Linked DNA regions of Saccharomyces cerevisiae S288C. The protein of the gene in region 1 purifies or fractionates together with the protein of each later gene. This does not show direct contact. Each region holds a gene or a part of one and is shown in the gene's direction. Other genes may lie near its edges.

Evidence for each region.
Region 2: the proteins of YAT1 (region 1) and SUP45 fractionate together in Saccharomyces cerevisiae (co-fractionation; one large-scale study listed by BioGRID). This does not show direct contact.
Region 3: the proteins of YAT1 (region 1) and YLR125W fractionate together in Saccharomyces cerevisiae (co-fractionation; one large-scale study listed by BioGRID). This does not show direct contact.
Region 4: the proteins of YAT1 (region 1) and AIP5 fractionate together in Saccharomyces cerevisiae (co-fractionation; one large-scale study listed by BioGRID). This does not show direct contact.

Annotation. Positions count from the first base shown.
Region 1 is NC_001133.9:184,502-192,756, forward strand, and holds YAT1 (carnitine O-acetyltransferase YAT1), read left to right. Parts: upstream 1-5,691; coding exon 5,692-7,755; downstream 7,756-8,255. Other genes in the region: KTD1 (DUP240 family protein), read left to right, coding at 391-1,095; DFP2 (DUP240 family protein), read left to right, coding at 1,820-2,044; pheromone-regulated DUP240 family protein PRM9, read left to right, coding at 2,335-3,231; DUP240 family protein MST28, read left to right, coding at 3,606-4,310; YAR035C-A (uncharacterized protein), read right to left, coding at 7,836-7,916; oxysterol-binding protein related protein SWH1, read left to right, coding at 8,118-8,255. UniProt on the Saccharomyces cerevisiae protein: Involved in the transfer of acetyl-CoA into mitochondria. May also be involved in the metabolism of acetate and of ethanol.
Region 2 is NC_001134.8:526,581-533,951, reverse strand, and holds SUP45 (translation termination factor eRF1), read left to right. Parts: upstream 1-1,769; coding exon 1,770-3,083; downstream 3,084-7,371. Other genes in the region: alcohol dehydrogenase ADH5, read right to left, coding at 1-190; YBR144C (uncharacterized protein), read left to right, coding at 403-717; MAK5 (ATP-dependent RNA helicase), read right to left, coding at 3,314-5,635; BMT2 (25S rRNA (adenine2142-N1)-methyltransferase), read left to right, coding at 5,914-6,927; GTPase-activating protein IRA1, read left to right, coding at 7,324-7,371. UniProt on the Saccharomyces cerevisiae protein: Component of the eRF1-eRF3-GTP ternary complex, a ternary complex that mediates translation termination in response to the termination codons. The eRF1-eRF3-GTP complex binds to a stop codon in the ribosomal A-site.
Region 3 is NC_001144.5:390,631-396,976, forward strand, and holds YLR125W (uncharacterized protein), read left to right. Parts: upstream 1-2,853; coding exon 2,854-3,264; downstream 3,265-6,346. Other genes in the region: YLR122C (uncharacterized protein), read right to left, coding at 324-701; YLR126C (putative amidotransferase), read right to left, coding at 4,135-4,890; APC2 (anaphase promoting complex subunit 2), read right to left, coding at 5,128-6,346.
Region 4 is NC_001138.5:176,486-186,248, reverse strand, and holds AIP5 (Aip5p), read left to right. Parts: upstream 1-5,505; coding exon 5,506-9,207; downstream 9,208-9,763. Other genes in the region: FAB1 (1-phosphatidylinositol-3-phosphate 5-kinase), read right to left, coding at 1-1,747; YFR018C (uncharacterized protein), read left to right, coding at 2,027-3,118; IGD1 (Igd1p), read left to right, coding at 3,388-3,975.

The DNA of each region.
Region 1 (8,255 bases):
GTATATTCTAATATAAAATGTACGAGCATCATTAACTTCAAGAACATTACGAAGCCCGCAATTAAGTGTCAGTCCATCTGGGTGTAAAAGTTATGTACGCTCGAAACAAATTTTATGTAGTTTACTTTAGATGCAAATGCTATTATATATTTTGCTTTATGATCCTCGGCTTGATGCTCGCCAACGTGAGATAGCTGGTCATCACAATAGATCAGCCGGGACGCTTTTCGATCACATCGAATCCCTTCGGGACGTTGCAACAATACGTGAAAAATGCCTCAAAAATAATAAATACAATGGTGAACAACGTTAAAAAAGCATAAAACAGCTGGCTATTTTGATCAGGATAACATCTATAAGTGCCATATTAAGGCAAGATATCAATTGACCATGCAAACACCTTCAGAAAATACCGACGTAAAGATGGATACTCTCGACGAACCCAGTGCACATTTAATCGAAGAGAATGTAGCTCTTCCCGAAGACACATTCAGTTCACATCTGAGTTATGTACTTTATGAAATTGCTCATTGTAAACCGATCATGTTTATGATCATCATAATCGTGAGTTTGATCTCATTGATTGTGCTTTTTCATGATAACGACGGGTGCACTGTGATCTTAGTGATGTCCCTTATAGTAGCCTCCATGGCTTTAATGGTGGTTGCAGCATTCACATTCGGGAAAGCGATCACTGAACAGGAGTTCATGATAAAGCTTTTAGTGGAGGTGATCGCACGCAAGCCTGCGGGGAAGGAATGGGGTACTGTCGCATATAATATGAACCAATATCTATTCATGAAGAGACTATGGTATACCCCGTACTATTTCTATAGCGGCAAGAAGTGCCATGAGTTCTTCACCACTCTTATCAAGGAAGTGAATTCTGGTTCGCACTCGGATTCCTCATCGAATAGTGCCGAGGATACACAATCACCTGTCTCAGCAGGGAAGACTTCAAATGGTCTAAACAACTTTTATAGTATTAGATCAGACCCTATTTTGATGGCATATGTTTTGAAGGCAACACAAATAGAAAAGGAGGCTCAAAGTGAATACTGGAGAAAGCAATATCCTGACGCTGATTTACCTTGAAGCGGAAGCATTTTATTCACCAAGTATACTTACTTTTCTTTAAAACGAGAACAAGAATCGAATTCAAGAACATCTCGAAGCCAGAATTGAGCATCATATATTCGAGCTGTACAAACATCATGGCCTACAACTATCGTATTTGTAAGTTTTTTTAGAGGTTTTCATATTTGTTTAATAAGGGTTCTGTCAGTTTTTGTCACATTCTATTGTTGCGCTTCGCATAATGCAGCCAAGAAAATCCAAACAATAGAAAAAGAAAAAAAGGATCTCAAAAAGGGTTTGGTGTTGTAGTTATAAGAATAACTAGTGAATAAAAAAGCTGTTGTTTGGTCCGTATTACATTCGTCAAAAATTTAGTACTCAAATCGTGTATGCAATCGCAACCACAAAATAAAAATATTAGACTGGATGTGTTGAGTGGAGATGGTGCCAATTTAGTTGAGGGAAATGTGGTCCTTCCCAAAGACATGTTCAATTCGTACTTAAGTTATTCACTTTACGTGTTACGAGGGGGCTCATTGTAAGCCGATAATGATTATGTTCCTGGCATCTGTAATTTTGATTTCACTGACTAATTTCCGAGTATACCATCTCATGTCCCTTCTATCCTCTTTTTTCATCTCCGGGACAGACCGACAATAAAGCATCTAATATTAGGCTTTCGTTAGAGGTAAGCACACGCCAGCGTTCGGTGAAAGGGGAATGAAACATTATCACGTACAAGATGAATAAATATCTATTTGACCATAAAATATGGAGTACTCCTTACTACTTTTATTGCGAAGAAGATTGCCACCGTCTTTTTCTAAGTTTTATTGAGGGAAGAACTTTCGAGAAGCCAACAAGCAACGCTGAGGAAAATGTACAGGAGACTGAAGCTGGCGAATCTTTCACATTAAATCCCGGAGAAGATTTTCAAAATTGCTTTCCAAGACAGCGGATATTGTAGAACAATCTCAAGTGAAGTATTGGCAAGATATTGGTGCAATTATTTGAAAGGAAGGAGAAATATTCTGACAGTACCTTGCTAGCAAAGGGATTTACCAATCCACTGACGCTAAAATGGGGTAGTAAATTAGATAAATTGCATTCTAACGTGACTTTATATAGTGGGAAACAGATATGTAGCACACAAAACGGCATGATTATGCTTAATTGATTCCTATTTTTTAACGTAAATACTCTCCCAGAACGATCAGAAAACTTAACCCGCAACCATCTTTGCTGTGCTAACAACTTATGTCGCCTCAATACCATTTTTATTTTGTATCATTCCGGAACTTAGTATTGAATGAAAAATGCCTCCGAAGTAAAAAGCAGGTGATGAAAAGTTTCAATTGGTATAAGACAGATCGCTATTTTGATCCGCATAACATCCTTCAACACCATAGCAGAGCTATAGAGAAGACAAGATATAAACTGGGCATGCAAACATCTTCAGAAAGTACCGACGCCAAGTCGGATTTTCTCGACGAACCCAGTGCATATTTAATTGAGAAAAATGTGGCTCTTCCCAAGGACATATTCGGTTCGTACTTAAGTTATTGGATATATGAAGTTACTCGTCATAAAGCGGCAGTAATTTTGCTCGTACTTATTGTGACTTCAATTTTATTATTAGTGTTTTTTTATAATACGGAATTTTGCGTTGCCTTTGAGATACTATTGTTTTCCTTTTGCTTTCCAGGAACATGCATGGTTGTAATTGCATTTAGTGAACCGATCGGTGATCGGGAATTTAAAGTTAAGCTTCTGATGGAAATTATCACACGTAAACCGGCGGTAAAGGGGAAAGAATGGAGGACAATTACATACAAGATGAACCAGTATTTATTTGATCATGGGCTATGGGATACTCCCTACTACTTTTACCGTGATGAAGATTGCCACCGTTATTTTCTAAGTCTTATTAAGGGAAGAACTTTCAAGAAGCAAAAGGAATCGTCAGCCAGCAATGTTAAAGACGCACAATCAAATGACGAAACCGCTGGCACACCAAACGAAGCCGCTGAGTCTTCTAGTTTTAGTGCCGGACCGAACTTTATAAAGCTCCTCACCAAGGCAGCCGAAATCGAACAACAATTTCAAAAGGAATATTGGCGACAAGAGTATCCTGGTGTCGATGAGTTTTTTTAGACAGAAGACGGGAGACACTAGCACACAACTTTACCAGGCAAGGTATTTGACGCTAGCATGTGTCCAATTCAGTGTCATTTATGATTTTTTGTAGTAGGATATAAATATATACAGCGCTCCAAATAGTGCGGTTGCCCCAAAAACACCACGGAACCTCATCTGTTCTCGTACTTTGTTGTGACAAAGTAGCTCACTGCCTTATTATCACATTTTCATTATGCAACGCTTCGGAAAATACGATGTTGAAAATGCCTCTAGAGATGAAAAACAATCGTAAAAGGGTCCTGCGTAATTGAAACATTTGATCAGTATGCAGTGGCACAGAAACAACCAGGAATACTATAGTCATAGGCAATACAAGGTATATATTGGCTATGCAGACCCCTCCAGAAAGTACCGACGTCAAGTTAGATACACTTAACGAACCTAGTGCACATTTAATTGAGAAAAATGTGGCTCTTCCTAAGGACATATTCCGTTCGTACTTGAGTTATTGGATCTATGAAATCGCTCGCTATACACCAGTCATGATTTTGTCCCTGGTAATAGGGGTTTTGGTTTTATTAATTATATTTTTTAATGACAACGAAGCTTGTGTTTTCAATTCTGCAATATTTGCTTTTACTTCTCTTGTAGGTTTGTTAATAATATTAAGTGATGGTAATCCAAAGCTAGTCAGTCGTCGAAATTTTAGGACCGAGCTTTTAGTGGATGTCATCACACGTAAACCGGCGGTAGAAGGGAAAGAATGGAGGATCATCACATACAACATGAACCAATATTTGTTTAATCATGGGCAATGGCATACTCCGTATTACTTTTACAGCGATGAGGATTGCTACCGTTATTTTCTACGCCTTGTTGAGGGAGTAACCCCCAAGAAGCAAACAGCCACGTCAATTGGCAATTCTCCGGTCACCGCTAAGCCTGAAGATGCCATCGAGTCAGCTTCTCCTAGTTCCAGACTGAATTATCAAAACTTTTTGCTCAAGGCAGCGGAGATCGAACGACAAGCTCAGGAAAATTACTGGCGAAGGCGGCATCCCAATATCGATGCGCTTCTTAAAAAGACGGAATAGCTTAGAGACACTACCATACGTAAAGCGAACATAAACTAGAGTATGATATATAATCAGCACTAACTGGCCGGAAAACGGCCGAAGGAAGCCTCGAAAAGTCGATTCGTGTTGGACCCATTTGCTGAACAAAGTGGTTCATTGCCTACCTATTATGGTAGTAGTCGTGATAATCGTGTGGTTGGTTTTGTCAACGGTGCATTTGCATTTTCATGACAATAAACCTTGCGTTTTCGTTCTCGGGATATTACTTTCCCTCCACTTCTTTCGCCTCAATAGCTCCTATAAGCATTCTCAGGGCGTATGTCGGTGATCGAGATTTCCAAGCAAGCTTTTAGTGGAAATCATCGCGCGCAAGCCAGCGGTAAAGGGAAAAGAACGGAGGACGATTACATACAAGATGAACGAATAAATAAATTAATAATAAATAATAATAAAAAGTACAGTAGCATTAAATATTATTAAGTTTAATGATTAAAAATTGGTTAATTGTCAAGAAAATCTAAGGTATTAATAAATAAATAATACTATGACAACTTGCAGCGAAAGCATCAGCCCCAATGAAAATTAATCAGAATTGAATCTGAGCGTATTTATTTGATAACGGTTTACGTAACTGTTGGAATAAAAATCAACTATCATCTACTAACTAGTGTTTACGTTACTAGTATATTATCATATACGGTGTTAGAAGATGACGCAAATGATGAGAAATAGTCATCGTTTTCAACGGAAGCTGAAATACAAGGATTGATAATGTAATAGGATCAATGAATATCAACATATAAAACGATGATAATAATATTTATAGAATTGTGTAGAATTGCAGATTCCCTTTTATGGATTCCTAAATCCTCGAGAAGAACTTCTAGTATATCTACGTACCTAATATTATTGCCTTATTAAAAATGGAATCCCAACAATTATCTCAAAATTCCCCCAATTCTCATCAGTAACACCCCACCCCGTATTACTTTTACCGTGATGAAGATTGGCATCGTTACTTTCTAAACGTAGGACGTGCGGAATGACAAAACCATCAGCAGTGTCACGATCTCTCCAGTCACAATGGCAATCATGAGTGCATAGTCCAAAGTAAAGGGGCAAGGAAAAGCATGATTGAAAGGACTCCCCATCTGGACTCTATATGTCATCAGCGGCTAAAAAAAAGCATATAGCACAACATCAGCATCAGCATCAGCACTAGAGTCATCGGCCCGGCGGTCCGCGGTCATCCCCGCGGACTTTCCGTCCGCCCGGCGGGCTGTATCAGCGTCAACTGGAACGCGCATATATATACAAGACACACATAACATAGAAGCACACCCACGACAATAACCACACGACAATAACCACACCCGCCCACCCCTCCTTTCCGTATACAATGCCAAACTTAAAGAGACTACCCATCCCGCCACTGCAGGACACGCTCAACCGCTACCTGGCACGCGTGGAACCCCTGCAGGACGAGCGCCAAAACCGCCGTACGCGCCGCACTGTGCTCTCCGCAGAAAACCTGGACGCATTGAACACGCTGCACGAGCGGCTGCTAGAATACGACGCACGGCTCGCGGAAAGCAACCCAGAGTCCTCATACATCGAGCAGTTCTGGTATGACGCGTACTTGCTATATGATGCAACTGTCGTTCTCAACGTCAACCCGTACTTCCAACTGCAGGACGACCCAACCATCAAAGACACACCAGAGACGGCGGCACAGGGCCCCTATGGCGCACACACGGTGCAGGTTCGTCGTGCCGCACGACTCACCACCTCTATTCTCAAGTTCATCCGCCAGATTCGCCACGGCACACTCCGCACAGACACTGTGCGCGGCAAAACGCCGCTGTCGATGGACCAGTATGAGCGGCTATTCGGCTCCAGTAGAATCCCTCCGGGTCCCGGCGAGCCCTCTTGCCACTTGCAAACAGACGCCACGTCGCATCACGTGGTGGCGATGTATCGTGGCCAGTTCTACTGGTTCGACGTGCTGGACACACGCAACGAGCCCATCTTCGCCACCCCAGAACAACTGGAGTGGAACCTCTACTCGATCATCATGGACGCGGAATCCGCCGGAAGCGGATCCGCGCCCTTTGGCGTGTTCACCACAGAGTCGCGCCGGGTGTGGTCCAACATCAGGGACTATCTGTTCCATGCGGACGACTGCACCAACTGGCGCAATCTCAAGCTGATCGACTCCGCGCTGTTCGTGGTCTGTCTCGACGACGTGGCGTTTGCCGCCGATCAGCAGGACGAGCTCACGCGTTCGATGCTGTGCGGGACTTCTACCATCAATCTCGACCCGCACCAACACCAGCCGCCATTGAACGTGCAGACAGGCACCTGTCTCAACCGCTGGTACGACAAGTTACAACTGATCGTGACCAAGAACGGTAAGGCGGGCATCAACTTCGAACACACCGGTGTGGACGGCCACACTGTGCTGCGGCTCGCCACAGACATCTACACAGACTCGATCCTGAGCTTCGCACGCGGTGTCACCAAGAACGTCGTCGACATCTTTAGCGACGACGATGGAAAACCATCGTCGTCGTCGTTGGCCTCGGCGGCTCACTCCGCCAACTTGATCACCATCCCTCGTAAACTGGAATGGCGCACTGACAATTTCCTGCAATCGTCGCTGCACTTTGCCGAGACGCGCATCTCGGACTTGATCTCGCAATACGAGTTTGTTAATCTTGACTTCTCCAACTACGGCGCGTCCCATATCAAGACAGTGTTCAAGTGCTCGCCAGACGCCTTCGTGCAGCAGGTGTTCCAGGTCGCATACTTCGCGTTGTACGGTCGCTTCGAGACCGTGTACGAGCCTGCCATGACCAAGGCGTTCCAAAACGGCCGCACAGAGGCCATCCGCTCCGTCACGGGCCAATCGAAGCTCTTTGTCAAGTCACTACTGGACCAGGATGCCTCGGACGCCACCAAAATTCAGCTCTTGCACGACGCCTGTACGGCGCACTCGCAAATCACAAGGGAATGCTCCCAGGGGCTCGGCCAGGACCGTCACTTGTATGCGCTCTACTGCCTCTGGAACCAATGGTACAAGGACAAGTTGGAGCTCCCACCCATCTTCCGCGACAAGTCCTGGACTACCATGCAGAACAACGTCTTGAGCACCTCCAACTGCGGTAACCCCTGCCTCAAGAGCTTCGGGTTCGGGCCTGTCACCGCCAACGGCTTCGGCATCGGCTACATCATCAGAGACCACTCCGTCTCTGTGGTGGTGTCCTCAAGGCATCGCCAGACTGCTCGGTTTGCGTCGCTCATGGAAAAGTCGCTGCTGGAGATCGACCGCATCTTCAAACGGCAGCAAGCTCGCGCAGCAAAACCCGCTGCCAGGACCACTGCTAGCGCCAACACCAAATCAGAAGACATGAAATACCTGTTGTCCGGCTACGATTACTTCGACGTGAGCGTGTCCGGTTGAGTTTATGCTGAGTTTTTGCGCATCAATATTATTTTTACTACTACTACTACTACTACTACTACTACATACTATTAAATATACTAAATAAGAGGAAAACGCTTTGGAAGTGACTGGCGCCGCCGCTGGCTACTATAATAGCAGCGACTGTAATTTAATCTCATCCCGTCGTTTGGATTACCTCTTTTACTCGCCGAGCGAACGTGCACCAAAAAGGGAAAGGAAAAAAAGAAAAAAAAAGGAAAAAGGAAACTCAAAACTTGGATAAATAGAAGCACTCAAACTAAATTAAACTGCCAAAAAAAAAAAAAATAAAAAGGGAAAAGTTTAAACATCAAAGTACACCTTTCACCCCTCCACACACCATGGAACAACCTGATCTATCGTCTGTGGCCATCAGTAAGCCGCTGCTGAAGTTGAAACTTCTCGACGCCCTTCGCCAGGGAAGTTTCCCCAACCTACAAGATCTCCTAAAGAAACAATTCCAGCCGCTAGACGACCCA
Region 2 (7,371 bases), on another chromosome or scaffold:
ATTTCAATTGAAATGGCCAATCACCGTGCCACGCGTGCAAGTCACTATGACAAACACCAGAATATTTAACGTGGACTAAAATTTCGTTAGGCTTAGGTTCCGGAACTGTGACGTCTTTATATTCCAATTTTCCATCTGTCTCATAAAAGACAATAGCCTTTTGTTTTTCAGGAATGACTTGCGAAGGCATGATGCTTTGATTTTGTAGATATGTAGTTAAATAATTTTCTTAGGTATCTTCCAATCAGAGACATTGTGAGACAGTAAAGCAGTAGTTTGCGCTAGAAATATCTTGTAGTCCCTCTTTTATATTCGTAGTATGTTATATAGATTACAATCTAGACAATACGAAGGAACGATCCCGCGTCAGCAGATGTCACAATTTGATTATTTCATTGTCACATGCTTTTTGACTCATCCTTCCGCGAAAGGAGAACTTTTTACAATGCCGCCGGCTCTGTTAGCGTACCCTTCTACAAGCAGATAGCAGAACAAACACATGATATATTCAAAAGGTGCAATGTCAGAGAACATATATTGCGCCCCTGTCCTGTAGACATCAGTCATTTTTCGCGGGACTTGAATGGCGCACCATTATCCTATACAGAAAACATTAAATTTACTGCAAAATTTTGGGCAAACGCTTGGATAGACTATGAATCCGTCATGAAGACACTACTTGTAAAATTATATATATCCTTTTTTTTCATGTGCTAGTAAGAATTAGCAACTACTTTCATTCATCTTCGACGCAACTTCGAGGAAAGCACCTTTTTACTTGCTGTAGCTCTATTCTCTTCCCCAACCACCTTTTCCTTTATTCCAAAATTTTTAAAACTTTTTCTGTTACATTATATAATCTTCTGTCTGAAATGTTTGGATATAACGCCTCTTGATCCACTTTGTATATGCGTGCTATTTATTTTCAGATTTATAAAGAGTATGAGCGTCATTTACATAAATAGCTGAAGTTATTCATGGAAAATACGAAGAGCACGTATGTGAGCCAACAGAACATTTGACGTAAGACTCTACAATGTGCCAAGAACTGGACAAGTAGAGGACTGAGAACTTTATTTCAATTCATTGCTCCTTTTTGGTGGCGCTACCTTTAGCGAAGGTCAATGATGAATGTGCACATGCTGTCGAAACCAAAAAGCAAATTCTAACCAACTTCAAAATGACATAGTCATCTGATATTTCTACTCATTATAGATAGTATGGGAGCCTTGAAACGAAAAGTAAGTAAAAAGCTGGATATGAGCAGTATGAGGTAGACCTTAGCTACATCATTTCCCCCAATAGCTGCTGCAAATATCTGGTTAAATTTGTGATTCCATGAAGAGGATAACAGACTTGTTAAAAAGCATCCTGTCAAAATCTAATTTTTGAAGGGCAGTATTCAATTCATAATTTACTTTAGCTTAGATCCTTCCAATTTATACATGGTATTATAACCAGATCATAAACTACAATCTGTCGCTACCGCATGTACGAAGAATACTTAAGTCACTTGCTCTCTCATCATTTGTACATTTTTCAGTAATACCGTTTGATAGCGCCGTCTTTATTACCCGGATTATTCCGTTGACCCTGAATGAAAAATTTTTTCAGAAATCCAGTGCTAAGCGTCAAATCAATGAAATACATCACTGTATTTTTAACTGATATACTGTTGGTGTGGCCTTAACGACACCTTTATTTCTTAATTCATTTCGGCTTGTCTCCTTATTAAGACTACAGAAATAGACAAAGGAAATACTTCAATAATGGATAACGAGGTTGAAAAAAATATTGAGATCTGGAAGGTCAAGAAGTTGGTCCAATCTTTAGAAAAAGCTAGAGGTAATGGTACTTCTATGATTTCCTTAGTTATTCCTCCTAAGGGTCAAATTCCACTGTACCAAAAAATGTTAACAGATGAATATGGTACTGCCTCGAATATTAAATCTAGGGTTAATCGTCTTTCCGTTTTATCTGCTATCACTTCCACCCAACAAAAGTTGAAGCTATATAATACTTTGCCCAAGAACGGTTTAGTTTTATATTGTGGTGATATCATCACTGAAGATGGTAAAGAAAAAAAGGTCACTTTTGACATCGAACCTTACAAACCTATCAACACATCCTTATATTTGTGTGATAACAAATTTCATACAGAAGTTCTTTCGGAATTGCTTCAAGCTGACGACAAGTTCGGTTTTATAGTCATGGACGGTCAAGGTACTTTGTTTGGTTCTGTGTCCGGTAATACGAGAACTGTTTTACATAAATTTACTGTCGATCTGCCAAAAAAGCATGGTAGAGGTGGTCAATCTGCGCTTCGTTTTGCTCGTTTAAGAGAAGAAAAAAGACATAATTATGTGAGAAAGGTCGCCGAAGTTGCTGTTCAAAATTTTATTACTAATGACAAAGTCAATGTTAAGGGTTTAATTTTAGCTGGTTCTGCTGACTTTAAGACCGATTTGGCTAAATCTGAATTATTCGATCCAAGACTAGCATGTAAGGTTATTTCCATCGTGGATGTTTCTTATGGTGGTGAAAACGGTTTCAACCAGGCTATCGAACTTTCTGCCGAAGCGTTGGCCAATGTCAAGTATGTTCAAGAAAAGAAATTATTGGAGGCATATTTTGACGAAATTTCCCAGGACACTGGTAAATTCTGTTATGGTATAGATGATACTTTAAAGGCATTGGATTTAGGTGCAGTCGAAAAATTAATTGTTTTCGAAAATTTGGAAACTATCAGATATACATTTAAAGATGCCGAGGATAATGAGGTTATAAAATTCGCTGAACCAGAAGCCAAGGACAAGTCGTTTGCTATTGACAAAGCTACCGGCCAAGAAATGGACGTTGTCTCCGAAGAACCTTTAATTGAATGGCTAGCAGCTAACTACAAAAACTTCGGTGCTACCTTGGAATTCATCACAGACAAATCTTCAGAAGGTGCCCAATTTGTCACAGGTTTTGGTGGTATTGGTGCCATGCTGCGTTACAAAGTTAATTTTGAACAACTAGTTGATGAATCTGAGGATGAATATTATGACGAAGATGAAGGATCCGACTATGATTTCATTTAAATAAATAAAAGGGGGAGAAAAAAATCGAATCAAAAAGAATTTAATCACTAGATGCCAGATTTAAATTAAATTCGCTTTTAATTTTTTGTACAATATAATATATACTTGGTAAACCTTTTGCTCTATATTGAGCTAATTCCTTTGTTGAAAGTACATAGTGGGTTTAGAGGACCGTGTATATTACGTAGAAAATACAGTGAAAGGAGAGTTTCTCTTCAAAAGCCTCGAGATTAATTATTTCTCTTTTTCTTTTTCTTCAAAGTTTCTAAGGCGTTTGTCTTTTCATGACCAATGATAGAATTATGACCTCTTTTTTTGACCAAGTTATCAGCTAAATTCACTAGCCCACCTGTCAAATATTTCTGTCTTCTATCTTTACGTATAGGCACTGATAACAATTCGTTCAACGTAGCTCTCATGGCTTTTACCTTGTCCTTATTTATAGTCTTCTGCATTTTTTTATTTTTATTTTTTAGTAAGAAAGTGTCCGAATTACTCTTTGATATATCGTCTTCGTCGGAATCAACGTCAATACCTAATTCATCAGCAGCCTTTTTTAACCAATTGTCATCTTTTCTTAGGGAATTAGAAGCAATTTCATGATCAGCCAGTTCGCCTGCTAATCTACTTCTTTCTCTGAGTTGTGAAAGTATATCGGTTTCAATTGGTAACAAAGGCACAGTGTTTTGCCACTTGATGGGTTTTCTGTTAGTTGATCTAGAGTTCAAATCCGTCGAAACACTATTTTTTGTAGCGAGAGTTTTTCTTAACTTTCTTAATGGGCCCATAGATTCTTGAGGTGAGCATATCATGGCAGAGACACCTTCAGAACCTGCTCTTGCAGTTCTGCCTGATCTATGAATATAAATATCAGTAGATCTTGGTAAGTGGTAATGAATAACGTGTTGAACACCCGGAATATCTAAACCTCTAGCAGCAACATCACTTGCAATCAATACTGTTGAGAGTTGAACGGAATCCGGATTCGAATGATTTATTGTTTTCTGTTTAGCGCTTTGTTGCTTGAACCTTTCTAAGCTTTTCAAACGGTTCTTTTGTGTCATGGAAGAATGAATTTGAAAAGCTGGGATGCCTAGGTTATTTAAGTATACGGTCAATTTCTTCACGGAGTCAATGGCATTACAAAAGATCAAAGTTGTACCTGGGAACATGGTTAAAAAGTAATAGCAGTATAGGTCACGTTCTAATGGAGGACATTCAATTAAGGATTCTTTGATTTGAGAGCTCACTTTTGACTCAGGATTTGTATCTATTATAACCGGCTTTGAGTTGAAGTGAATTTTGCTCATTAAGTGTTGTATTACGGCATTTAGCTCATCTTCGTTGTTTTTAAACCTTCTATCCTTAACTTGACGGGAAGAAGATAGCTTATCAAACAAGTCGATGGAGAATGTTGCAGAAAAGATCAAAGTTTGCCAAATTTTGCTACTGCCCTCGGAGTTTTCTCTGTTTTTCCTTCTTTCTACTAATAAATGTTTAATGATTTTTTCGAACTCGTCGAAATGACCGTCTTGTAACAGCCTATCAGCCTCATCAAGGATTAGCGTATTTACTTTCGAGAATCTTTTGATTAAAGTGTTGTCTTTTTCCAACAGTTCCAAAAATCTACCTGGTGTTGCGATGACAATTTGGCCACTATTATCGTACTTTAATAGACGTTGTTGTTTTTGGATAGAGAGTCCACCTGTCAAAGATAATATCGAGTACTGAGATTTCGCTAGAACAGGCTCACAGATCTTTTTTAAGTGGTCTGTGACTTGATGCGCCAGTTCTCTTGTAGGAGTAAAGATTAACGATATTGGTTTCTTGTTTTTCTGAGAGAAGTTACTGATCAGTTTCTCTACAATTGGAATACCATAGGCTAAAGTTTTACCTGAACCTGTAGAGGCTTTCCCCATGACGTCTACGCCTTGCATAATAACTGGAATAGACTTTTTTTGAATTTCTGTAGGTCTGAGAAAATTTAAATTCTGCAAGCTCTGCAAAATAGTCATTGAGAGAGGTGCAAGATTCGTCCATTCAGGTAAATTTACAGGAGAAATATCATCGATATTAATGTCTTTGTTAAAGACGTTTTCTTTCAAAACATCCTCATCCACATCCTCATCCACATCCTCACTGGGATCGGTTAACTTTGAACTCTCAATATTACCTTGCTCATCCTCGTCGGATGATGAATAAGATGCTGCACTCAACTCTCCTTCTTTAATATCGTCCAAGTTCTTGAATTCAAGGAGCTCGGACTCCGAATCTGACCCTGATTCATTTTCCACAGATTCCTGATCATCTCCGACTTTTTCCTTATTGCTATCTTTTAACACTTTTGAATCTTTTTTGGTGACGAAAGTTACTTTACCATCCACGACTTTAACGTCCACTCCGTCAATTTCTTCCAAGCCATAAAATCCACCAAAGTCATCTAAAGTGTCCGGAATATCTACTGGTTTCCAGTTCAATTTGGATTCATCTACAATTATCTCCTGTGGCTTTGTGACCGTTTTTCCTTTTTGAGGAGCCCTTTTCTTACCCATGATGGAAAAACTGATTATGCCGGTATTTGACTAAAGAATTTCTACCTGAGGTTATGATGATAATGATGGGCAGGTTGGCGAATATAACTTTTTTAGATGGAAATTCTTATAAGCTCATCGCTGGAAAAGTTTTTCAGAGAAAAAGAAAAGTACGGACTAACTAACCTTGAGGCGGGTTTGTGAGGTGAAAAAAAATATAACAATTATAATATCGATGAGCTAGCCATGACCTTGATGGCAATCTTGTATCAGCTTAGCGATACCACTAATACAGCGGAATGCATTCAAGAAAGTCGAAGAGTATTACGGGCAAGAGGAAGCAAGTAGGAAGTAACGTGACGAGAGTAATCAAGCCACAGAAGACAAGAAGGATAATAAGAAGATTCCACCATTTAATTAATAAGCGTCAATCGATATGCAAGTTTTTATGCCTTAAGGAAAACCTAGATGATTCCAACGAGGAGAAGAATGACAAAATTATCAGGTTAAGTATTAAAGGTAATGTAAGACTGGGCAAGTACTATGAAGACGGCAAATCGCAGTCCTTCAATGATGCTATGGAATCACAACTACTGAGGCTGCACTCATTAATTAAAAATGAATCCAAATCAAAGGATACTTCTGACTTGGCTGTGATGTACACATTACTTGGTTACATAATGAATCAGATTAATAAATTGGGAGGACTAGAAACTTACCAAATTGCCAGTCAAAACGGGCAATTGAAGGAACGAGGAGGAGACACGTCCAAGTTGCTCGAGAAATGGATCAGGTCCTCATTTGAAAATTGTCCTGGAGCAGTGGCATTAGAAATTGGTTCATTGAGCTCCGGAAATCGCATATCCCGTTGTGCACTTTTTAGAAATGTGGTTCGTATAGATTTAGAGGAACATGAAGGCGTTATTAAGCAGGATTTTATGGAAAGACCGCTACCGAGAAATGAAAACGACAAATTCGACCTGATATCATGCTCTCTAGTGCTAAATTTTGTCAAAAATCACAGGGATCGCGGTGCAATGTGCCATCGCATGGTCAAATTTCTCAAGCCGCAAGGCTACATCTTTATTGTTCTGCCACAAGCCTGTGTGACGCACTCAAGATACTGCGACAAAACACTGTTACAAAACCTCCTCGGCTCTATCGGGCTCATAATGCTTAATAGCCATCAAAGTAATAAGTTGTACTATTGTTTGTATCAATTGCAGGTAGTTCCACCGCAGCCGAGTAGCTTTTCCAAAAGAATCAAGGTTAACGACGGCCCTGGGTTGAACAATTTTGGTATTACCCTCTAAGCGAGCCGACACCGCCTGGAAGTTTTTCATAAAGGGATACAATATAGAAAGATGTGTAAAAACGTTAAGTAAAAGATGAGCAAATGAACAGTGTTCGAAGGAGAATAACAAGAGTTACTGCTCATATAAAACTAATATACTAAAGGTTTTCGCTTTGTATTACGATTGAAACAATTAACTGTTTTTTTTTTTTCCGCTTATTACACAGTACCGGTTTCATTTACGCCTTTGATCATTTTATTGGCATTGGGCTCATAGTAGTTTTCAGCGCGTGGTTAAGCTATTTAACGAAAGCGTATAAAGTCAAGTGATCATCTTTTGCCCTGCAAATAGAGCTTCAAACTTAACATTCTTCTTCAGCATATAACATACAACAAGATTAAGGCTCTTTCTAAAATGAATCAAAGCGATCCGCAAGACAAAAAAAATTTCCCAATGGAATAC
Region 3 (6,346 bases), on another chromosome or scaffold:
GAGGCCAAAAAGCAATCTCCATTACCAACAATATCGCGGTAGTGAAGATTTGTATGTATATTGAATGCCAAGACAAAATGGTGGCCAATTCTGCCATTCCGTCATAAGGGATATTGAATTTTGCTTATTTCATCACCCCACGCCATTGTTTTGTCCCGCCCGGAAAAACTCTGCCAAAAAAAGAGTACATTTCTGGCCCATCTCCGCACTAATTCCCCTTTCCTTTAAAATACGCTGCTTATAGGCGTCGAATGGAGAAAAGGTAGTGAGTGATTCCTCACCCTCCACTCAGACGTTTCTGATATACAATTGGGGAAAGGGGTTCACACACAGCAAGCCGGTATGTTACAATTGTATTTAGATAAGTTTTTCGTTTGAATGCGTTGAAAATTACTTGCGCTAGCTTCAGCTGATGTGCCATGTAACGCCGTTCTATCCACGCTAACTTCAATAGACTTCAATAGAAAGCAAATAGTTATATAATTTTTCATGGACGGTCCAGAGAATGCCACAAAAGTGCGGCCATAGAATGAAGACTGTATGAAAGAGCGCCATTGTCCCCACGTGTAACTGGGGCGAAGGGCAGGAATTCTGAGAGCAAACTTTGCTTCCAGCATTATGTAAAAAATCGAAGCGCACAATCGGACGCAAACATCTGTGTAGACGTAGAGAAACATGCAGTTTTGATATAGACGATTCATGTTGATGACGAGCAAGGCAATTTCGAGATTTGACTACTGAAGAATTTCTGTTTAGGAGCCGCTTTTGCATTATCATTGCCCTATTACGAGCCCAGTTAATGTTGGTTCGCCTAGTCTTGGGATTGGGATATAGGGTTAGGACGAGTCGATCTTAGTGGTACAAAGGAACCTCTCATCATCCTGAGTCCATTGTCTGCGTTTTTTCTTGAAGCTGAATATAATGTTGTAATTTGCTCGTTCTAGCAACTTCAGCGAAGCCAGTCTTCTAATGACTCCGCTGTTCCCAGAAAGTGTGAGCACTTACATATATGAATACAGCACTATCTGGAGAAGTGGCGCGCTCTTAATTAAAATGATGCAGCGTGTTATCACATCTTGCGTTACCGGGCCTTGCAAAAATTGCTATGTTTTTCTTGTGCTTGGTATTGCTTCGTGGAGATATATATTCTCATATCAGGACGGAATTTTACAAAGTGAGAACTCTAAATGGTGTAGTAAAGAGAAGAAAAAAAAATGCTCAGCGATTTACCCTCATTACAACCACCGAGATTCACTAGGAAACGGAGCTGTCCCTCGGAATTTATTGTCAACATATCATCCAATGTTAATGTAGAATGAGTTACCGTCTGTTACTTTTGGGACGGTTTTTGCACTAAGAACAGACGAGTTTACGGTTATCCTCAACAAGCAAGCAAGTATTTGCTAATCTAGATGCCATTCCGAATCATTACTCATACGTTACTATTGAGAGATGTTTTACAATAGATGAGAAGAATACAATGTCCAGAGCTCCTGGTATGCTAGAGTGCATATTCCAGGTCTTATTCGAATCATATCATACCGTCCATTTCAACAATGGTGAAATGTGGTCCACATATATCAGAAATCTTAACATTTAGTGAGGAGAGCCAGTAGAAAAATGTGCGCAAGCGGAAAGAAGTCATTCACAGACACGTTTAACAAAACACCACCACAGCAGCTTTGTCTCTTGATTCTGATCAGTTTGCCATCGAAGAAGCAAAATTGTGGTGTTATTTTTTTCAAACAAAACTTTTTTGGCAACAGCAGTTTTCTTCTGGATATTTGTACTTTATCATCCAACCGATGAAAGCTGGTTTCCTGTCAACCTACATTTAAATGGCCCGTACTTCTTCAAAACCGCTAGATAAGCAAATTAACCCAACTTTTGAGCGTCCTAAATTCCCCTTGGCTCAGAAGACTCGTTAATATGGGAAGTTTAAGTCCTACCATATAATCAAATTGGAAGCTTTCTGTGTTCGAATGGCTATTCTAACCGCTGGGCTATTAATCAGAGGGGAAGTGAAATGACCGAGACGTATTATACGTCATGTTGACATCAACAATTTAAGGAAAAAAATAAAAAAAAGCAATGAAAAAGGGTTTTTTTAAGTTGAAGACCCTTTTCAAATATATGTTGCTTTGAATTGTATCTACCGTCTCGTTTCTTCTGCTTTACCGTTTTTTTTTGCCTTCTTTAGATATGTCTTTTATGCTTGAAAGGTCCGGCTTTAATGCATTCATCTAAACGTAGTATTCCTATTTTTGAACTGCTACCAATCCACCATGACTTTACTATGAAGGACATTATTAGTGAACAGCTTCAAAAAAATAAACTTTTCAAGTCATTAAGATATATCTTGTTGCAGCGTAAGATGTTGGTGTTCAGTGCATTCTGTACAAAAATCCGTGTAATACCAAGTCATCCTCAGTTTACAAAGCTTGCTAGTTTCCTGCAGTTTGGAATGAACCATTAAAGACGCTAATCTTCGGATAGAGATCAGCTCCTTGATACTGTATAATCCCTATCCACTTGAATTCCTGTTGCATCCCAGTTCTATAGGCATCACCTACTGCATCACCTACTTGTATAATCCTCGAGCAGGTATGCTAGCTCTGCGTCAGTCCTTGCGATACACAACTAATGGAATATCTTATGGGTCAATCAAAACCATTCTTCTAGAACGCCGAGTTTCCAGTTTTGGGATTTAAGTAATACATTAGGTGCCTGTCACGCAATCCGTCCGCTGTATTTCTCCGCATAGAGGATTTCAGTACGAGAGAGTGAAGAGTCAAACTAACGCAACGTAGTAGTGGCTTTGGACATTGAAAAGAATAGTCTAGTCTGCCAAGCATGGGAGAAATTTTAGAACTAACTAATAAGAATTTCATGAGCCACTTGAAAAAGGACATAACTTCGCAAGAATCCTTGAAAAGTAGAATTGAGGATAAAAATGGTGATGTCGCTAGCCCGAAAGAGGATAACTATCCTCTATTGAATGAAACAGCGGCATGGCCAGATGGGGTGATTACCTCTGAAGAAGGATGTTCATCTTCAGGTGAGAAAGAGAATTCAGGCTTATGTTCAGAAGAAAGTTCAGAAGAAGATCCAGAAGAAGCTGAAGAGGAATCTGCAAGGGCTTTTGGAGAGTTAGTTGCAGTCTTGCGGGACAAAGACATACCACTGAATGTATTGGACGAACCTCAGATGAAAGATTGGCTTGAAAAATACACCGGTGTTTATAGAAGCTCTTGGCATGGTTGATTATGAAGAAAATTCCATAATTTTGCGAGGTGGGAGAATACTCTTGGGAAAGTGTTGAGAACAAAAACGCCACTAAAAACAGCAGGATTATTAAAAAGTAAAAAAAAAAAATTCCTTTTCAAGCAGGCAAACAATGGGTTATTTGAATGGAGAAGTATGCTACTATTTCTGCATGTTGTGGATCTAAGGCGATGTGGGCCTAGATTCTTTCCTTTTTTTGTTTTTACCTTAATTATCTTACGTTGTTCTTTCCGTCAGTTTTACACCTGACATGGGACAAGAGAACAAATTGTGAAATAAGTTCAAGCCTCTGTTGACATTTATTGATGTATCTATTTCTTTGAGGGTTAATTAAAGATAACAAATTGCTTTCTTCCGCTAATTTGAGCCTATTGAATTTACTGGGAAATGCCAACGTGGTCAGACATCAATTCAAGAAGTTTAGTTCTCAGAGAGTGTAACTTGCCTGTTTGGTCGCTGCAGTGAAACTGCCATTAGCTCTTTAGAACAACGTTCTAACTATACGAGGACCATATTACGTAAATCAACAAACCTCAAGAATTAGTGTCATATTTTCTCGCAGATATTACTACTGACATTCAGTCAGCTATATCCATTATGCATGAGCGAAAAAAAAGTGCATACAAAAAAGCTTATTTATTGGACTTAATAAACGAAACTATGTAGTGCCGAACCTTCGGATACTGATCATTGGAGTGATTTGATAAAGTTTCTGCAGAATTCTGGGAAATGAAGGAAATGACGTAGCGAGGCCTTCATGCAACACTAGTTGAAATTGAAAAAAAAAAAAACCTTATAAGCTATCTTTCCTATACGTCCTCTATCGACTATATAACCCAAGCAGCTGTTTCATATTTTTTGCAAGAATAACCTCCAAATATTCCTGGCAGCTTGTATGCCATTGTTATCCAGCTCCTGGCACTGTCTTTCGTATCTATTAAACTCTTCAAGGGTAAGCTTGTCTTGAGACTTCAAAAGCCCCTTCTGAGCGACATCACTATTGAATTCAGGGTGTCCTTGAAACGTCAGCACTCTGTTTTGCCTGTAAAATCCTTGGTTTTGACATTTTTCACTTGACGCCCAATTTTGGTATCCCTCTGGGACATCGAACACGCAGTCACTGTGCACTTCAGAAAGATTTAATTCTTGAGCACCAAATAACTTTTGACCCACAGAGTTCAGTTTTAGTGACACAACCCCACCTTCAAACCCTTTCGGATTCCGTCCAACTGAACTTCCTAGAGCAGCCGCGATAACTTGATGACCAAAACATATTCCAGCTACGGGCGGATATTCAGTCTTGCTAGTTAGCATCTCATTTAAGAAACTTCTTAATTTCATAATCCATTCAATTTCATTATCAAATGAATCATATTTTGAACCAGTGATGTATATGCCTAAATACTCATCTTTCTGAAGATCTGACAATTGAGGGAACACGTTTTTTTGTACGTGGAACACTTCATATTCGACATCTTCTGCGATACATTCCAATTTCCTGGTCTGTTCTAATAGCTTGATAGCCATATCAACAAAATTGCCCCATGGTTTACTCCATTCGTTATCTTCATCTGTATAAAGAATAGCTATTTTTTTTACTGTCATTATGATGTTTTCTTAGTATTTTTTTGATATAATTCAATTCTAATATATGTTAATGCATAATTTTCAGAGCTATAGCGGTATATATTTCAAACTTTCTCAATTATCTATGTGAAATTATAAACCTTATCTGTCTTTTCTTCTGTACACCTCATCTGCCACTTCCCACTTTGGCGCGCGTTGACATTTTGCGACAAAAAGAGATTGTTCGTGGCAGTCGTGTAAAAAACTGCACCTCAATCATGAGTTTTTATGCCCATTTTTCACTATTTCATATGAACCATTGGCAATGTACTTCAGCCTACCCTCATCGGCCAGAGTGTTTAAATATCCCTCTAATTGTTGAAGAGTAATTCGGTTATATCCCCAATCTTTTGGCACGGTAATTTTCAAAAAAGAATGGATCTTATGAAGTTTCATTGCGCCTAAATTAGTCAGCATTCCTTCGATGAATGGCAGACTTCTTTGAAGTGTCAATTCATATTTTCTTTCTATCTCAGAATCGTTATGTAGTTCATAGTTACTGTTCTCAATCTCCATTGGGGCGGTCTTTTGTGCTTGATCAAAATCCATCTCGCTATGTTCAATAACGGAATAGGTTCCATTTTCTTTTAAAAGCACACCTTTTTGAATCCAGAAATCTAACAAATGAGTTAGCCTGGGAGGAGCAATATTTAGTGACTCAGAAAGCTGCTCTAGTGATAAACAAATTGGCTCATCATTTGGAGAATCAAACTGATTTATTACGCTGCATTGTTCTAAAGAAACGTCTAACACTAATTTCCTACCATCTTTGAAAGCTAATTGTATTTCTACTTTTCCTTTATCTTTGCATAGTTGTAACTTGCGCCCAGGTTTCAGCTGTGAGTATATATCAGAATACTTCTGTAGCTCCCTTTCTAAATCTATTGGTAAATGAAATGCAAGATCATTAGAACCTTGTGTATCGCAGTTGTACTTCCAGTAGAGGAGTGAGATAAATTTTGGAAATATTATGGGATCCAGTCCGGCTACTTCATGCATTTTACGGCAGAGCTCCTCGCTACATTTTATATCCCAAAGCATAACATCAATGCTATTCAAATTCGACTGGTCTGCATCTGCTGCAGGGGCTGTTGTTTCTAGGAGTCCTAATATACCGTTTGTTATATAATTGGAATGACTTGTTTCTGTGAATTTGACTATTTTTTCTCTTATTAATTTCAAACATCGGGTCCATTTTTCATCCAACGTATAAAATTTCAAAGTGAATAATCTGTCGGTTAAGAGATTTCGAAATTCTGATATGAAAAATTCTCTTGATTCAAATAGATCCAAAAGCACCTCAAACAAATTTGTCTTAATATAACTTGATTTGATGTTACCGGGAATCATGTCATTAGGCTCTGGTACCCAAGCTATATAATAATTGAGTATATGTTCGTATAGCATGGCGTGTCTTATTGGTAGGTCCTTGTTC
Region 4 (9,763 bases), on another chromosome or scaffold:
TATTATTATTATTATTATTATTATCATTATTTCCATTTGCCGTGTCATTTTGTTGCGAAGGACCTTTGGAATTGTAGTTGAATTTAAACTTGTAATTTCTATGAGCATAATTCCCGATAATACGATTGGCAGGATCCAGTATGGAAGAAGACTGTGCAGACGAAGCGGGTGTTGCAGAGCTATTGTTACTGTCCTTGTTAACACTATTGCTGCTTACATAATGGAAAATAGACCTTCTTAAGGAATGCGCAGGATTATTGATGTTGCTGTTGCTATTGGTATTGTTATAGTTGCTGTTGTTGGAAGTAGTGTTGTTGAGGTTGTTGATGGTAATAGTGCTGTTATTGGTGTTATAATGTGGCCTCAAAGTGGAATTAGAGTTGGTATCGTAATGTGATATATTGTCCATATCTCTGATAGTGTACCTTGTGGGCACGGAATCGAGGTGATGATGGCGACCGGGGTTGTCATCTTGATAATGCAAAGCCCTATCGTTTTCCGAATCGAATGAGATTTCCAGCGATCCGCCTTGCTTTGTTGCTGGGATGGCCATCTTCGGTGGTGGTGGGGGTGTAGAAATGAACAATTTAGAATCTTCACCTGAGGTCATTATACTTTGTACGTCATCGTCATTTAATAGGTAGACCTCATTCTGCTGTTGAGGGTTATCCGTTGCTGCTACTGGATCATGGAGATCGGTACCGTTATGGTTGTCCTGTGAAATGAGATGCAAATGCGAATGTGAATGAGAATATGGATTGGTATTGGAAGAACGAGAGCGAGAGCGAGACCTTGGCTCATTCAATTGCATTGTAGAATCATTCTCTTCATCACTGGAGTCCTCGTATGTGTCTGCATGCTCATAACAATTGTAACATACTCGCATCTTGGCATGACAGCCGAATCGATCACCATCTATCAAGAGAGTGCAACTGCTGCAAAAAATTTGGCCGCATATCCTGCAGTGGTGTTTCCTTCTGAAAGTGTTAAACGTTTTACCACAACTGAAACATTCTTTAGAACTCTCGTCCTTCATCCAATATTCCTTTGAGAGGACACCATTGTTACTGGTCTTGTCCTTCTTGCGGTTGTTATAAAATGCGAACAGGAAACTCTTGGACAGGGATGCGGTCAACGAAGAAGAGGCACTCTTTATCGAAGACACTTCATCGCCAACGTCGTCATGATCGCTGTCAGGAGTGCGCGCATAGGAATTCTGCATGGAAATTGGCCGATTGTTCCTAATGGGGATAGCAGTAACAGTGGATTTGGAGGCATATATGCTAGATCGTTTAAAGTTGGAGTCGTTCTTAATGGGCAGCTGCAGCGAGTGAGAAGGCTTATAGCGACTCGGATATCTCTTGATGGTGCTAGAGGGTATCCTCCCACTAGTTGTTGGCGGCAAATTTTTCTTATTCACGCTGGTACTAGTGTTAGCATTAGCTTTAATGTTCGAATGCGACGCAGTGCCGGTCACGTGACTTGTTGATGTCGCTGTTGCTATCGAGGATGATGTGGGGGGGCTTATTTTTGGCACGGAGATATTGCTCAGAATTGGGTTTGTCACTAGATCCGTCGTAGTCGACGTCGTAGATGTCGACATAATGTGCAGGGACGGTTTCTTAATATAGTTCGGTCTGGATAAGGTAGCATCGATTGTGTTCACAGATGAAGTACCAGTGGAGGACGACCGGACATGTGAGCCATCTGGAAAGGATATAGATGCATGGGGTTCTTCCGATGACATGCTGTGTGACGGTCTTGCATGTACAGGATGGAAGCTACCTTGCTATTCGAAATAGTTTTTTGTTTGGCCCTTTATTTACTTTCCATATGGTTTTCGCGTTCGTCAAGAAGTACATTGCGTTTGCGTTGCCTTCGAGGCGAGACGAAGGAAGGAACATAAGAATATAAGAAGCAAAGGAATAAGACGGCTTGTGATACATTTCATGGGAAGAAGAGGGGGAGAGGGAGAGTTAGAGAGAGTCAACAGAAAAGAAATAAAAAGACTGAAAAGGTCGTAAGCATGGGAATGAAGTACGTATTGCCTTTGCGACTAATTGGTCTAGCGTACCTGTTGGTGCTATTTCAGGTGCATAGGGTAACTGGGTGGGAGTTGTCATATGAGCAGTACCATGCAGCGCATCTGAACGAAGCTATCAACCCAGACAGCGGTTGGAACAAAAGTACCAAGAACCTGCTGTTGCCTTTTAACAGAACGCGCGTACCCGGATCGGAAGGCTCGCGCGAGATCCAGCGCTTCATCATCGAGCACTTCAACAATACGCTGGCGGGAGAATGGGCCGTTGAGACGCAAGCCTTTGAGGAGAACGGTTACCGCTTCAATAACCTTGTTATGACATTACAAAACAATGCGAGCGAGTACTTAGTGCTCGCTGCTCATTATGATACCAAGATAGCGCCCACGGGGATGGTGGGCGCTATCGACAGTGCCGCCTCGTGTGCCGCGCTGCTATATACGGCCCAGTTCCTAACGCACATCGCGTGCCACGAGCGCACGAAAGAGTACAATGACTTAGAGTCGAACACTGTAGTATCGAATTCTACCTTGGGTGTAAAGATCGTATTCTTTGATGGAGAGGAGGCCATTGAAGAGTGGGGCCCCGAGGACTCGATTTATGGAGCACGCCGATTAGCCGCCCAATGGCTTGCTGACGGCACGATGACAAGAATTCGCCTATTATTTCTTCTGGATCTTTTAGGAAGTGGCGAAGAGGAGCCGCTAGTGCCCAGCTACTATGCAGAGACACATCAAGAATATCAGCTGCTCAATCGAATAGAGGATGACTTGTTATTTCGACGTGGAGATGAAATCAACGGCGAATCGGCATTAGCCGCCGAAGTCGCGCGTCAACGCAAACATCTGGACCCCACGGACTATCGATTTTTAGGGCTCGGGCATTCGGTCATCGGAGACGACCACACGCCATTCCTGGCCGCCGGAGTACCCGTATTACATGCAATCCCGCTACCATTCCCAAGTACATGGCACACCGTGGATGATGACTTCCGGCACTTAGACGCCGCGGAGACTCGTCACTGGGCGCTGCTTGTGTGCGAATTTGTAGTACAGTCACTACGCTCCCGTAACCAGTGATAAATCCCCTGTTTCCTTTCGTTAACATCTCCCCCTGATCTGGGGGATGTGGGGTGGAATGAGTGGCCCGGTCAATGTCAGTGCACCACTCTGAAAAGCTTGCACACATACATATACATATATATATATATATATGTAGGTATAGTAAAGGTTTGCCTGAGTAATTTTTGCGCGAGAGATCTACTATCAGCAGCGATGAGAGCAGCTACATAACACATAGTAAATCACACATCTACGCAACACACACACACACGCATACACTCACCCTCATGACAGATCCCCACTTGAACACGCCCCAAGTGAGCACGTCACCCACATTTGAAAGATCACAGGACTTCCTCAACATCGACGAACCGCCCTGTGCACAGGAAACACCTAGTGTTTCTACATTCAACCTCCCGGGTCCAAGCGCTCCCGCTCAAAGCGTAGACAAGCCAGTCCCCATGATTAGACGGCGGTCTACCAATTATATGGACGCACTAAATTCCAGGGAACAAGCCCGGGAACGCGAAAGCAGTATCGGGGAGCACGCCCCGGGAGCCGAACGTAGGAGTAGCGGACCCATGGATTTCCAGAATACTATCCACAATATGCAATACAGGACCACTAACGACTCTGACCTGAGCCACGCTGGCGTGGATATGGGTGACTCCATCTCCCATACACCGATCTGTTCTCGTGCTGGCAACAGACCCATTTTCAAAAACTCGTACCTTGACAACAACAGCAATGGTAACAGCGCAAGAGTCCCACACGGCTCTCCTCCACAGTTGGGCACGCGTAGAAAGTCGTCTTTTAAGTACGAGGACTTTAAGAAGGACATCTATAACCAGCTTCACATGTTTGGAGAGAAGTAAAGCCTCCCTAGTGTCGTCCACACCTACCCACTCATACATATGTACGTAACGTCAATCTCTTTAGCTTCTTTTCTACATTTTTTTGTATATGTACCAAAACGTTGCGCATATTCTTCACTCATTTGCTCCCGTGGCTCGGCGGCTATTTTTCTTTTCCTACGGAGCGGACTGTGGTGCTTACGTGATAACAAACAACCCGAGACAAGATCCAATCATTGTCTGACTGGTATTCCTGCCACCATATTAAAAGATAAGACGGTCGAAAGATAATACATAAAGATAGGTGGAAATTGAGATAAAACCAGTCCAAAAATTCTAGATATATCTAGATATAGAACCAATTTTTTTTTCCCTTGTTTTTGATATGTTCCTTCGCTATCCTATTACGTTATTCATTCTTGCATTTCTGATTCCCTAGACTTGTTGACCGCCTATCGCCATTTAAGTTACCTTCTTTATTATATATTACTATATAGTGTTGACATGAATATTGTCAATTATAACAGTTAATTCCTATTTCAACGGGCACAAGTTACAAAAAAACTTAATCTGTTTCAGATGTCATTTTTATTTAGTAAAACTTGAAACGTACAATAAAATGACAGCGATATCGTGTAGAACTATCAATTCATTTCAATGGATTTCTGTACCCTCACGAATAGTTTAGATTATGTTATATAGGCGTGGTGATAATGCGATACTTTTTTTATTGACATAGTATTCATGACAGTACCTCTGCACAAAATAAAGTGTTTTCCGCGATCCGTACCTAACGTTGCCGCATGTTCGGTGAGAATTGGGAGAATAATTTGATAATTACTGGAGTTTCATTGTTGGTAAAGGCTATAATATGATGAATACAGAATGTACTAAATCCTCTCATTTCAACATATACGACCTAATTTTTATGAAGCTCCCTCGTCTTATTTTGTTTTGAATACTTGCCGGTGGTAATCGCATCATTTTCAAATTTAATTTCAAAATTATATATTCTAACTCTCAACTCCTTTCAATCTTGAGGTGCCCGCTGTTGTAAACAAGACTTCAGACCTACTAAAAAGGTGGGGAGTGCTCAAGAACTCGGATGTAAACTAACTAATAAGTGCTTATTGAGAAAGATAAGAATACAGAGACAATTGTTGCCTCGTGGCGGGGCTATTTACAGGTATTTCTGGTTAATGTTGGAGCTGTTGTGACCTTATTAGAACACGAACACTTCCAAGAAATAAGCGCAAGTGGTTTAGTGGTAAAATCCAACGTTGCCATCGTTGGGCCCCCGGTTCGATTCCGGGCTTGCGCAGTCCTTTTTTTAAGGATAAATTTATCCTAAAGCTTCCGAGAATATAACAGACAAGATGAAAATATTTGTTAAGTTTCTGAACACGAAATTGTCGTATATTTTCCCTTAATATTTCGTAGTCACTTCGCATATAAGCAAGTGGTTTTATTCCAGAACACTTTCTCTTTTTAAACCTGTTAGCAATTATTGTACTGGTGTGCTTGATTACTCTGGATTAAATAAAGAGTGACATGGTAGAATCTTTGACTGTAGAAAATCAGGAACACAATGTTCAACCCCCATCGGTAACTAGTGCTGGAGATTCGTATTCGACACTTGCTACAGATCTTCCCTTACCAAGTACGAATGATATTATAGAAAGTCGAGATCAACTTACAGAAAGTGACTTAGATGAAGCGATAAATGCCACTGAGAATTTTGCACAGGAATTATCATCTCAAAGGAAATCTTCTAAATTGAAAGGTCATAAAAAGAAAAACCAGGGACAAATAAAGGCGAATCGTGACAGAGATACTATTGTAAAACTTTCCAGTTCTGTTGGTGAAACCGAGGAAGCTTCCACACGGGATGCAATCTCTCATGATTTGGAAAGAAAAGACGACGTAATAGAGATAGCCACAGATACAATAAATGACGCTACAGAATCTCCCACACAGATCCCAATAGACGTCAATGTAGTTATCAAAGAAACTTCTACTAACAATGTAGCGGAAGGCACAGAAAATGTACCACCAATCAAAGAATCCACAGGAATTGAGGTTGGCAATAGCCCAATTACGAGAAGAAAAAAAAACAAAAAGAAAAAAACCACGAATAGAAGAGGTCGTAATTCTTCAAATCCTGCAGATACTACTGATTTGTCAAAACAGTCAACTTTAGATTCCATACTAGTAGGCATTGAAGAGTACCTACAGGAAGATGGTTCAAAGAACGAGGATATCAAAGTAAATATTGTCCAAGATGAGCCTGTTAATGTCGAAAAAATGGATATCAGAACCAGAAATGAATCTAGTGACAAAACCTTCGACATAGATGTGCCTAACAAAGATAATGTTGACGAAACTTCCTCAAAGTCCGAGAACAATATCAACGAGGAAAAGGCAGAACATACCTTACCTCGAGAAGAGAATGAGATCTTAAATGTTAATGAGGGAAATGCAGCTTCTTTTAAACACCAACTAGAGCCGCACGGTTTGGAGGCAGGTGATGAAAATGGGCAAGCGTCTACTAAGGATGTTGAAAGTGAAAGTTTAACTAAGAATGGGTTTAATTTCAAAGAGAACGAATCAAAACATTTGAAAGCTGGGGAAAAGCAGCAGACTGAAAGTGATAGAGACGGAATAAGTCCTTCAGTTCTTGCAAAAAATCAGAAAGAAACAGAAATCGGGAAAGAAGACCATGTTTTTGAACAGAAGGATAAAGAAGACGAAAAATGTAGGAAAGAATTATCTGTTAATCATGAGAATAACATGAGCCATAATTTTAACGCAGCTGGTAGTGATAGTATCATCCCTCCAGAAACTGAGCGAGAGACTTATGATGACGAAACGATGGGACCAACAAAGCGCATTAGTGACAATGAAAAAAATCTACAACACGGTACTAACGATATATCTGTAGAAGTTGAAAAAGAAGAAGAAGAAGAAGAAGAAGAAGAAGAAAATTCGACTTTTTCAAAAGTTAAAAAAGAAAATGTAACCGGGGAGCAAGAAGCTGTAAGAAATAATGAAGTGTCCGGTACCGAAGAAGAATCTACATCAAAAGGAGAGGAAATTATGGGGGGAGATGAAAAGCAGTCAGAAGCGGGAGAAAAATCTTCCATTATTGAAATAGAGGGAAGCGCAAACTCTGCAAAAATTTCTAAAGATAACCTTGTTCTTGAAGATGAAGCTGAAGCACCTACTCAGGAAAACAAGCCTACGGAAGTTGTCGGAGAAATCGATATACCTGACGCGCCTAGGGATGATGTAGAGATTGTTGAGGCTGTGGAAAAAAATATAATACCTGAAGATCTCGAGGTTGCCAAAGAAGATCAAGAAGGGGAACAAGTCAAGCTGGATGAACCTGTTAAGGCCATGAAAGATGATAAAATAGCAATGAGAGGTGCTGAGTCTATCAGTGAAGACATGAAAAAGAAGCAAGAGGGGACTGCTGAGCTTTCCAACGAGAAAGCAAAAAAAGAGGTTGATGAAACAGCAAGAGAAAGTGCAGAAGGTGTAGAGGTTGAGAAATCGAAGACTCCTGAGTCTCCAAAAGTAGTTAAGCGTTGTACCTCCGGAAGACCAGAAGATCTTCAAATCAACGAAAGAGATCCTGAGGTTCTAAAGGAAGATGTTAGAGTTCCCGATGAAGATGTAAAGCCAGAAATTGCAACAACCATTGAGAATTCCGAAGAAGAAGATCCCAAATCCCAGCGCGTTCAAATTTCAACAGAACAAGCTGAAACTACACAAAAGGATATGGGAGATGTAGGATCTACTACTAGTTTCAAAGAAGAAGAAAAACCCAAACGCTTTGAAATTACACAAGAAGGCGATAAAATCACCGGCAAAGATACAAATCATGAACATGGTGAAGCTACTGAGGCTGCGAGCGAAAATTCAAAAGCAAGTGATGTTGGAACTGCCGAAAAATATATAGAACCTAGCAGCGAATCTGTCAAGAAGGACACCGAGGAAGATGCAGAAGTGGAGAATTCCGAAAAAACTGAATTTATCAAGGTAAAGGCAGAGCTTGAAAATCTTGACGCTCCAAAAGAGGCAGAAGTCACTGCTGAACTGAATAAAGAAAATGAAGATGTGGAAGTTGACACCGAGGAAGATGCAGAAGTGGAGAATTCCGAAAAAACTGAATTTATCAAGGTAAAGGCAGAGCTTGGAAATCTTGACGCTCCAAAAGAGGCAGAAGTCACTGCTGAACTGAATAAAGAAAATGAAGATGTGGAAGTTGCTGCAACTTCAAAAGAAGACATCGAAACAAAATGTTCGGAACCTGCTGAGACTCCAATAGAGGATGGAACATGTACGGAGGCAGAAGTTTCAAAAAAGGATGCGGAAGCCGTGACAAAAGAAGACGAGAATATGGAAAATTCTAAGATTGCTGAGGCGCTCAAAGATGTCACCGGAGATCAAGAGATCGACGATATCAACATTTCAGACGAATTTCAAAGGACAGTCGAATTGCCAGAATTGGAAAAACAAGATATAAAGGATAATAAAGGAGAAGACAAGGAATTGGAAGTAGAAGAAACAGAGAAAGAAACTTCTCTTCCTGATCTTGTAGTGGAAGAAAACATCACGGAGGAAAAGAATGAAATTAAGCAAGAAGAAGAGGAGGTATCCCAGTTAGACTTCAATGAAACAGAGTCAATCAGTAAAGAAGCCCCAAACAATGACGAAAATGGATTTGAAGATCAAAGTACAAGGGAAAATCCCAAGAAAGCAAGTGCAGATGACATCTTCAAAGATATTTTGGACGAAACGAATGAGTTTTTAGAGCAACTAAAAATTGTTGATGATTCTGAACTAAACGCTCTACTCCAATCACTAGATGCGAAAGACTCCACAACTCAAACTACTGAGCAATCCAAGAAAAACAATGACAAGCCACAAGACGTAATAACGACTAGCGAGATCCGGAAGCTGAATGAAAAGGAACCTGTATATATATACACGTCACTAGCCGGAGGCGGTTTCCATATGATCCCCAGAACAAATCGCTTAAGCACAATCCTGACGGCCAACCGAATCCCGTTCACCTACAGAGATCTTGGCACAGATGATGAAGCGAGAAAAGTTTGGAAGACTTTCAGCAAGGGTAGGAGTCTTCCAGGTGTGGTCAGAGGACACAATGACTTAATCGGGAACTGGGAAGAAATAGAAGAAGCTAACGAAGACTACAAATTGCGGGAACTCATTTACGATACTATTTAAGAAAGCTTAAGCGCGCTACGTAACTAACATAATCTCTTGACAGCACATGTGATTTATAGTTCTCCTCCCACGTTTAACCCACATAAAACAAGGTAAAAGAAACCTTGTCAAATAATTGCTCTATTGACAGGAGCAAAGCTTGCCCAAAGAGGTTGCACAGAAGCGCCGTAAACGGAATCTTTCAGGGGCACAATTTCCCGATCGGTACGGCAAAGGCAAAAGCCACCTGCGCGGCTACTCAGGGACCATTTCCTGCCACAGAACTTCCCGTGAAACATGCCCCGGCCTATGGGTTCCTGGAACCCCCCACAAGTAATACCCCTTGGAGGATTTTTCAGAAAGAAAGCGAAGCTATTGTTAGCTGGTCAATTGAATAAGGGCAGACAAGAGGCTGTATGACTACAGTTGCATGCGGAGACGGCTTCAACAGCAACAGCAACAGGAAGTGTTCACACCAACGCACAGCCTACACCGGTGTATATAAACATAAACTCCTTCTTTTCTTCCCGCAACGGTTCTTCTTATTACCTTCCACTTTTTTTTTCATTGACTTATA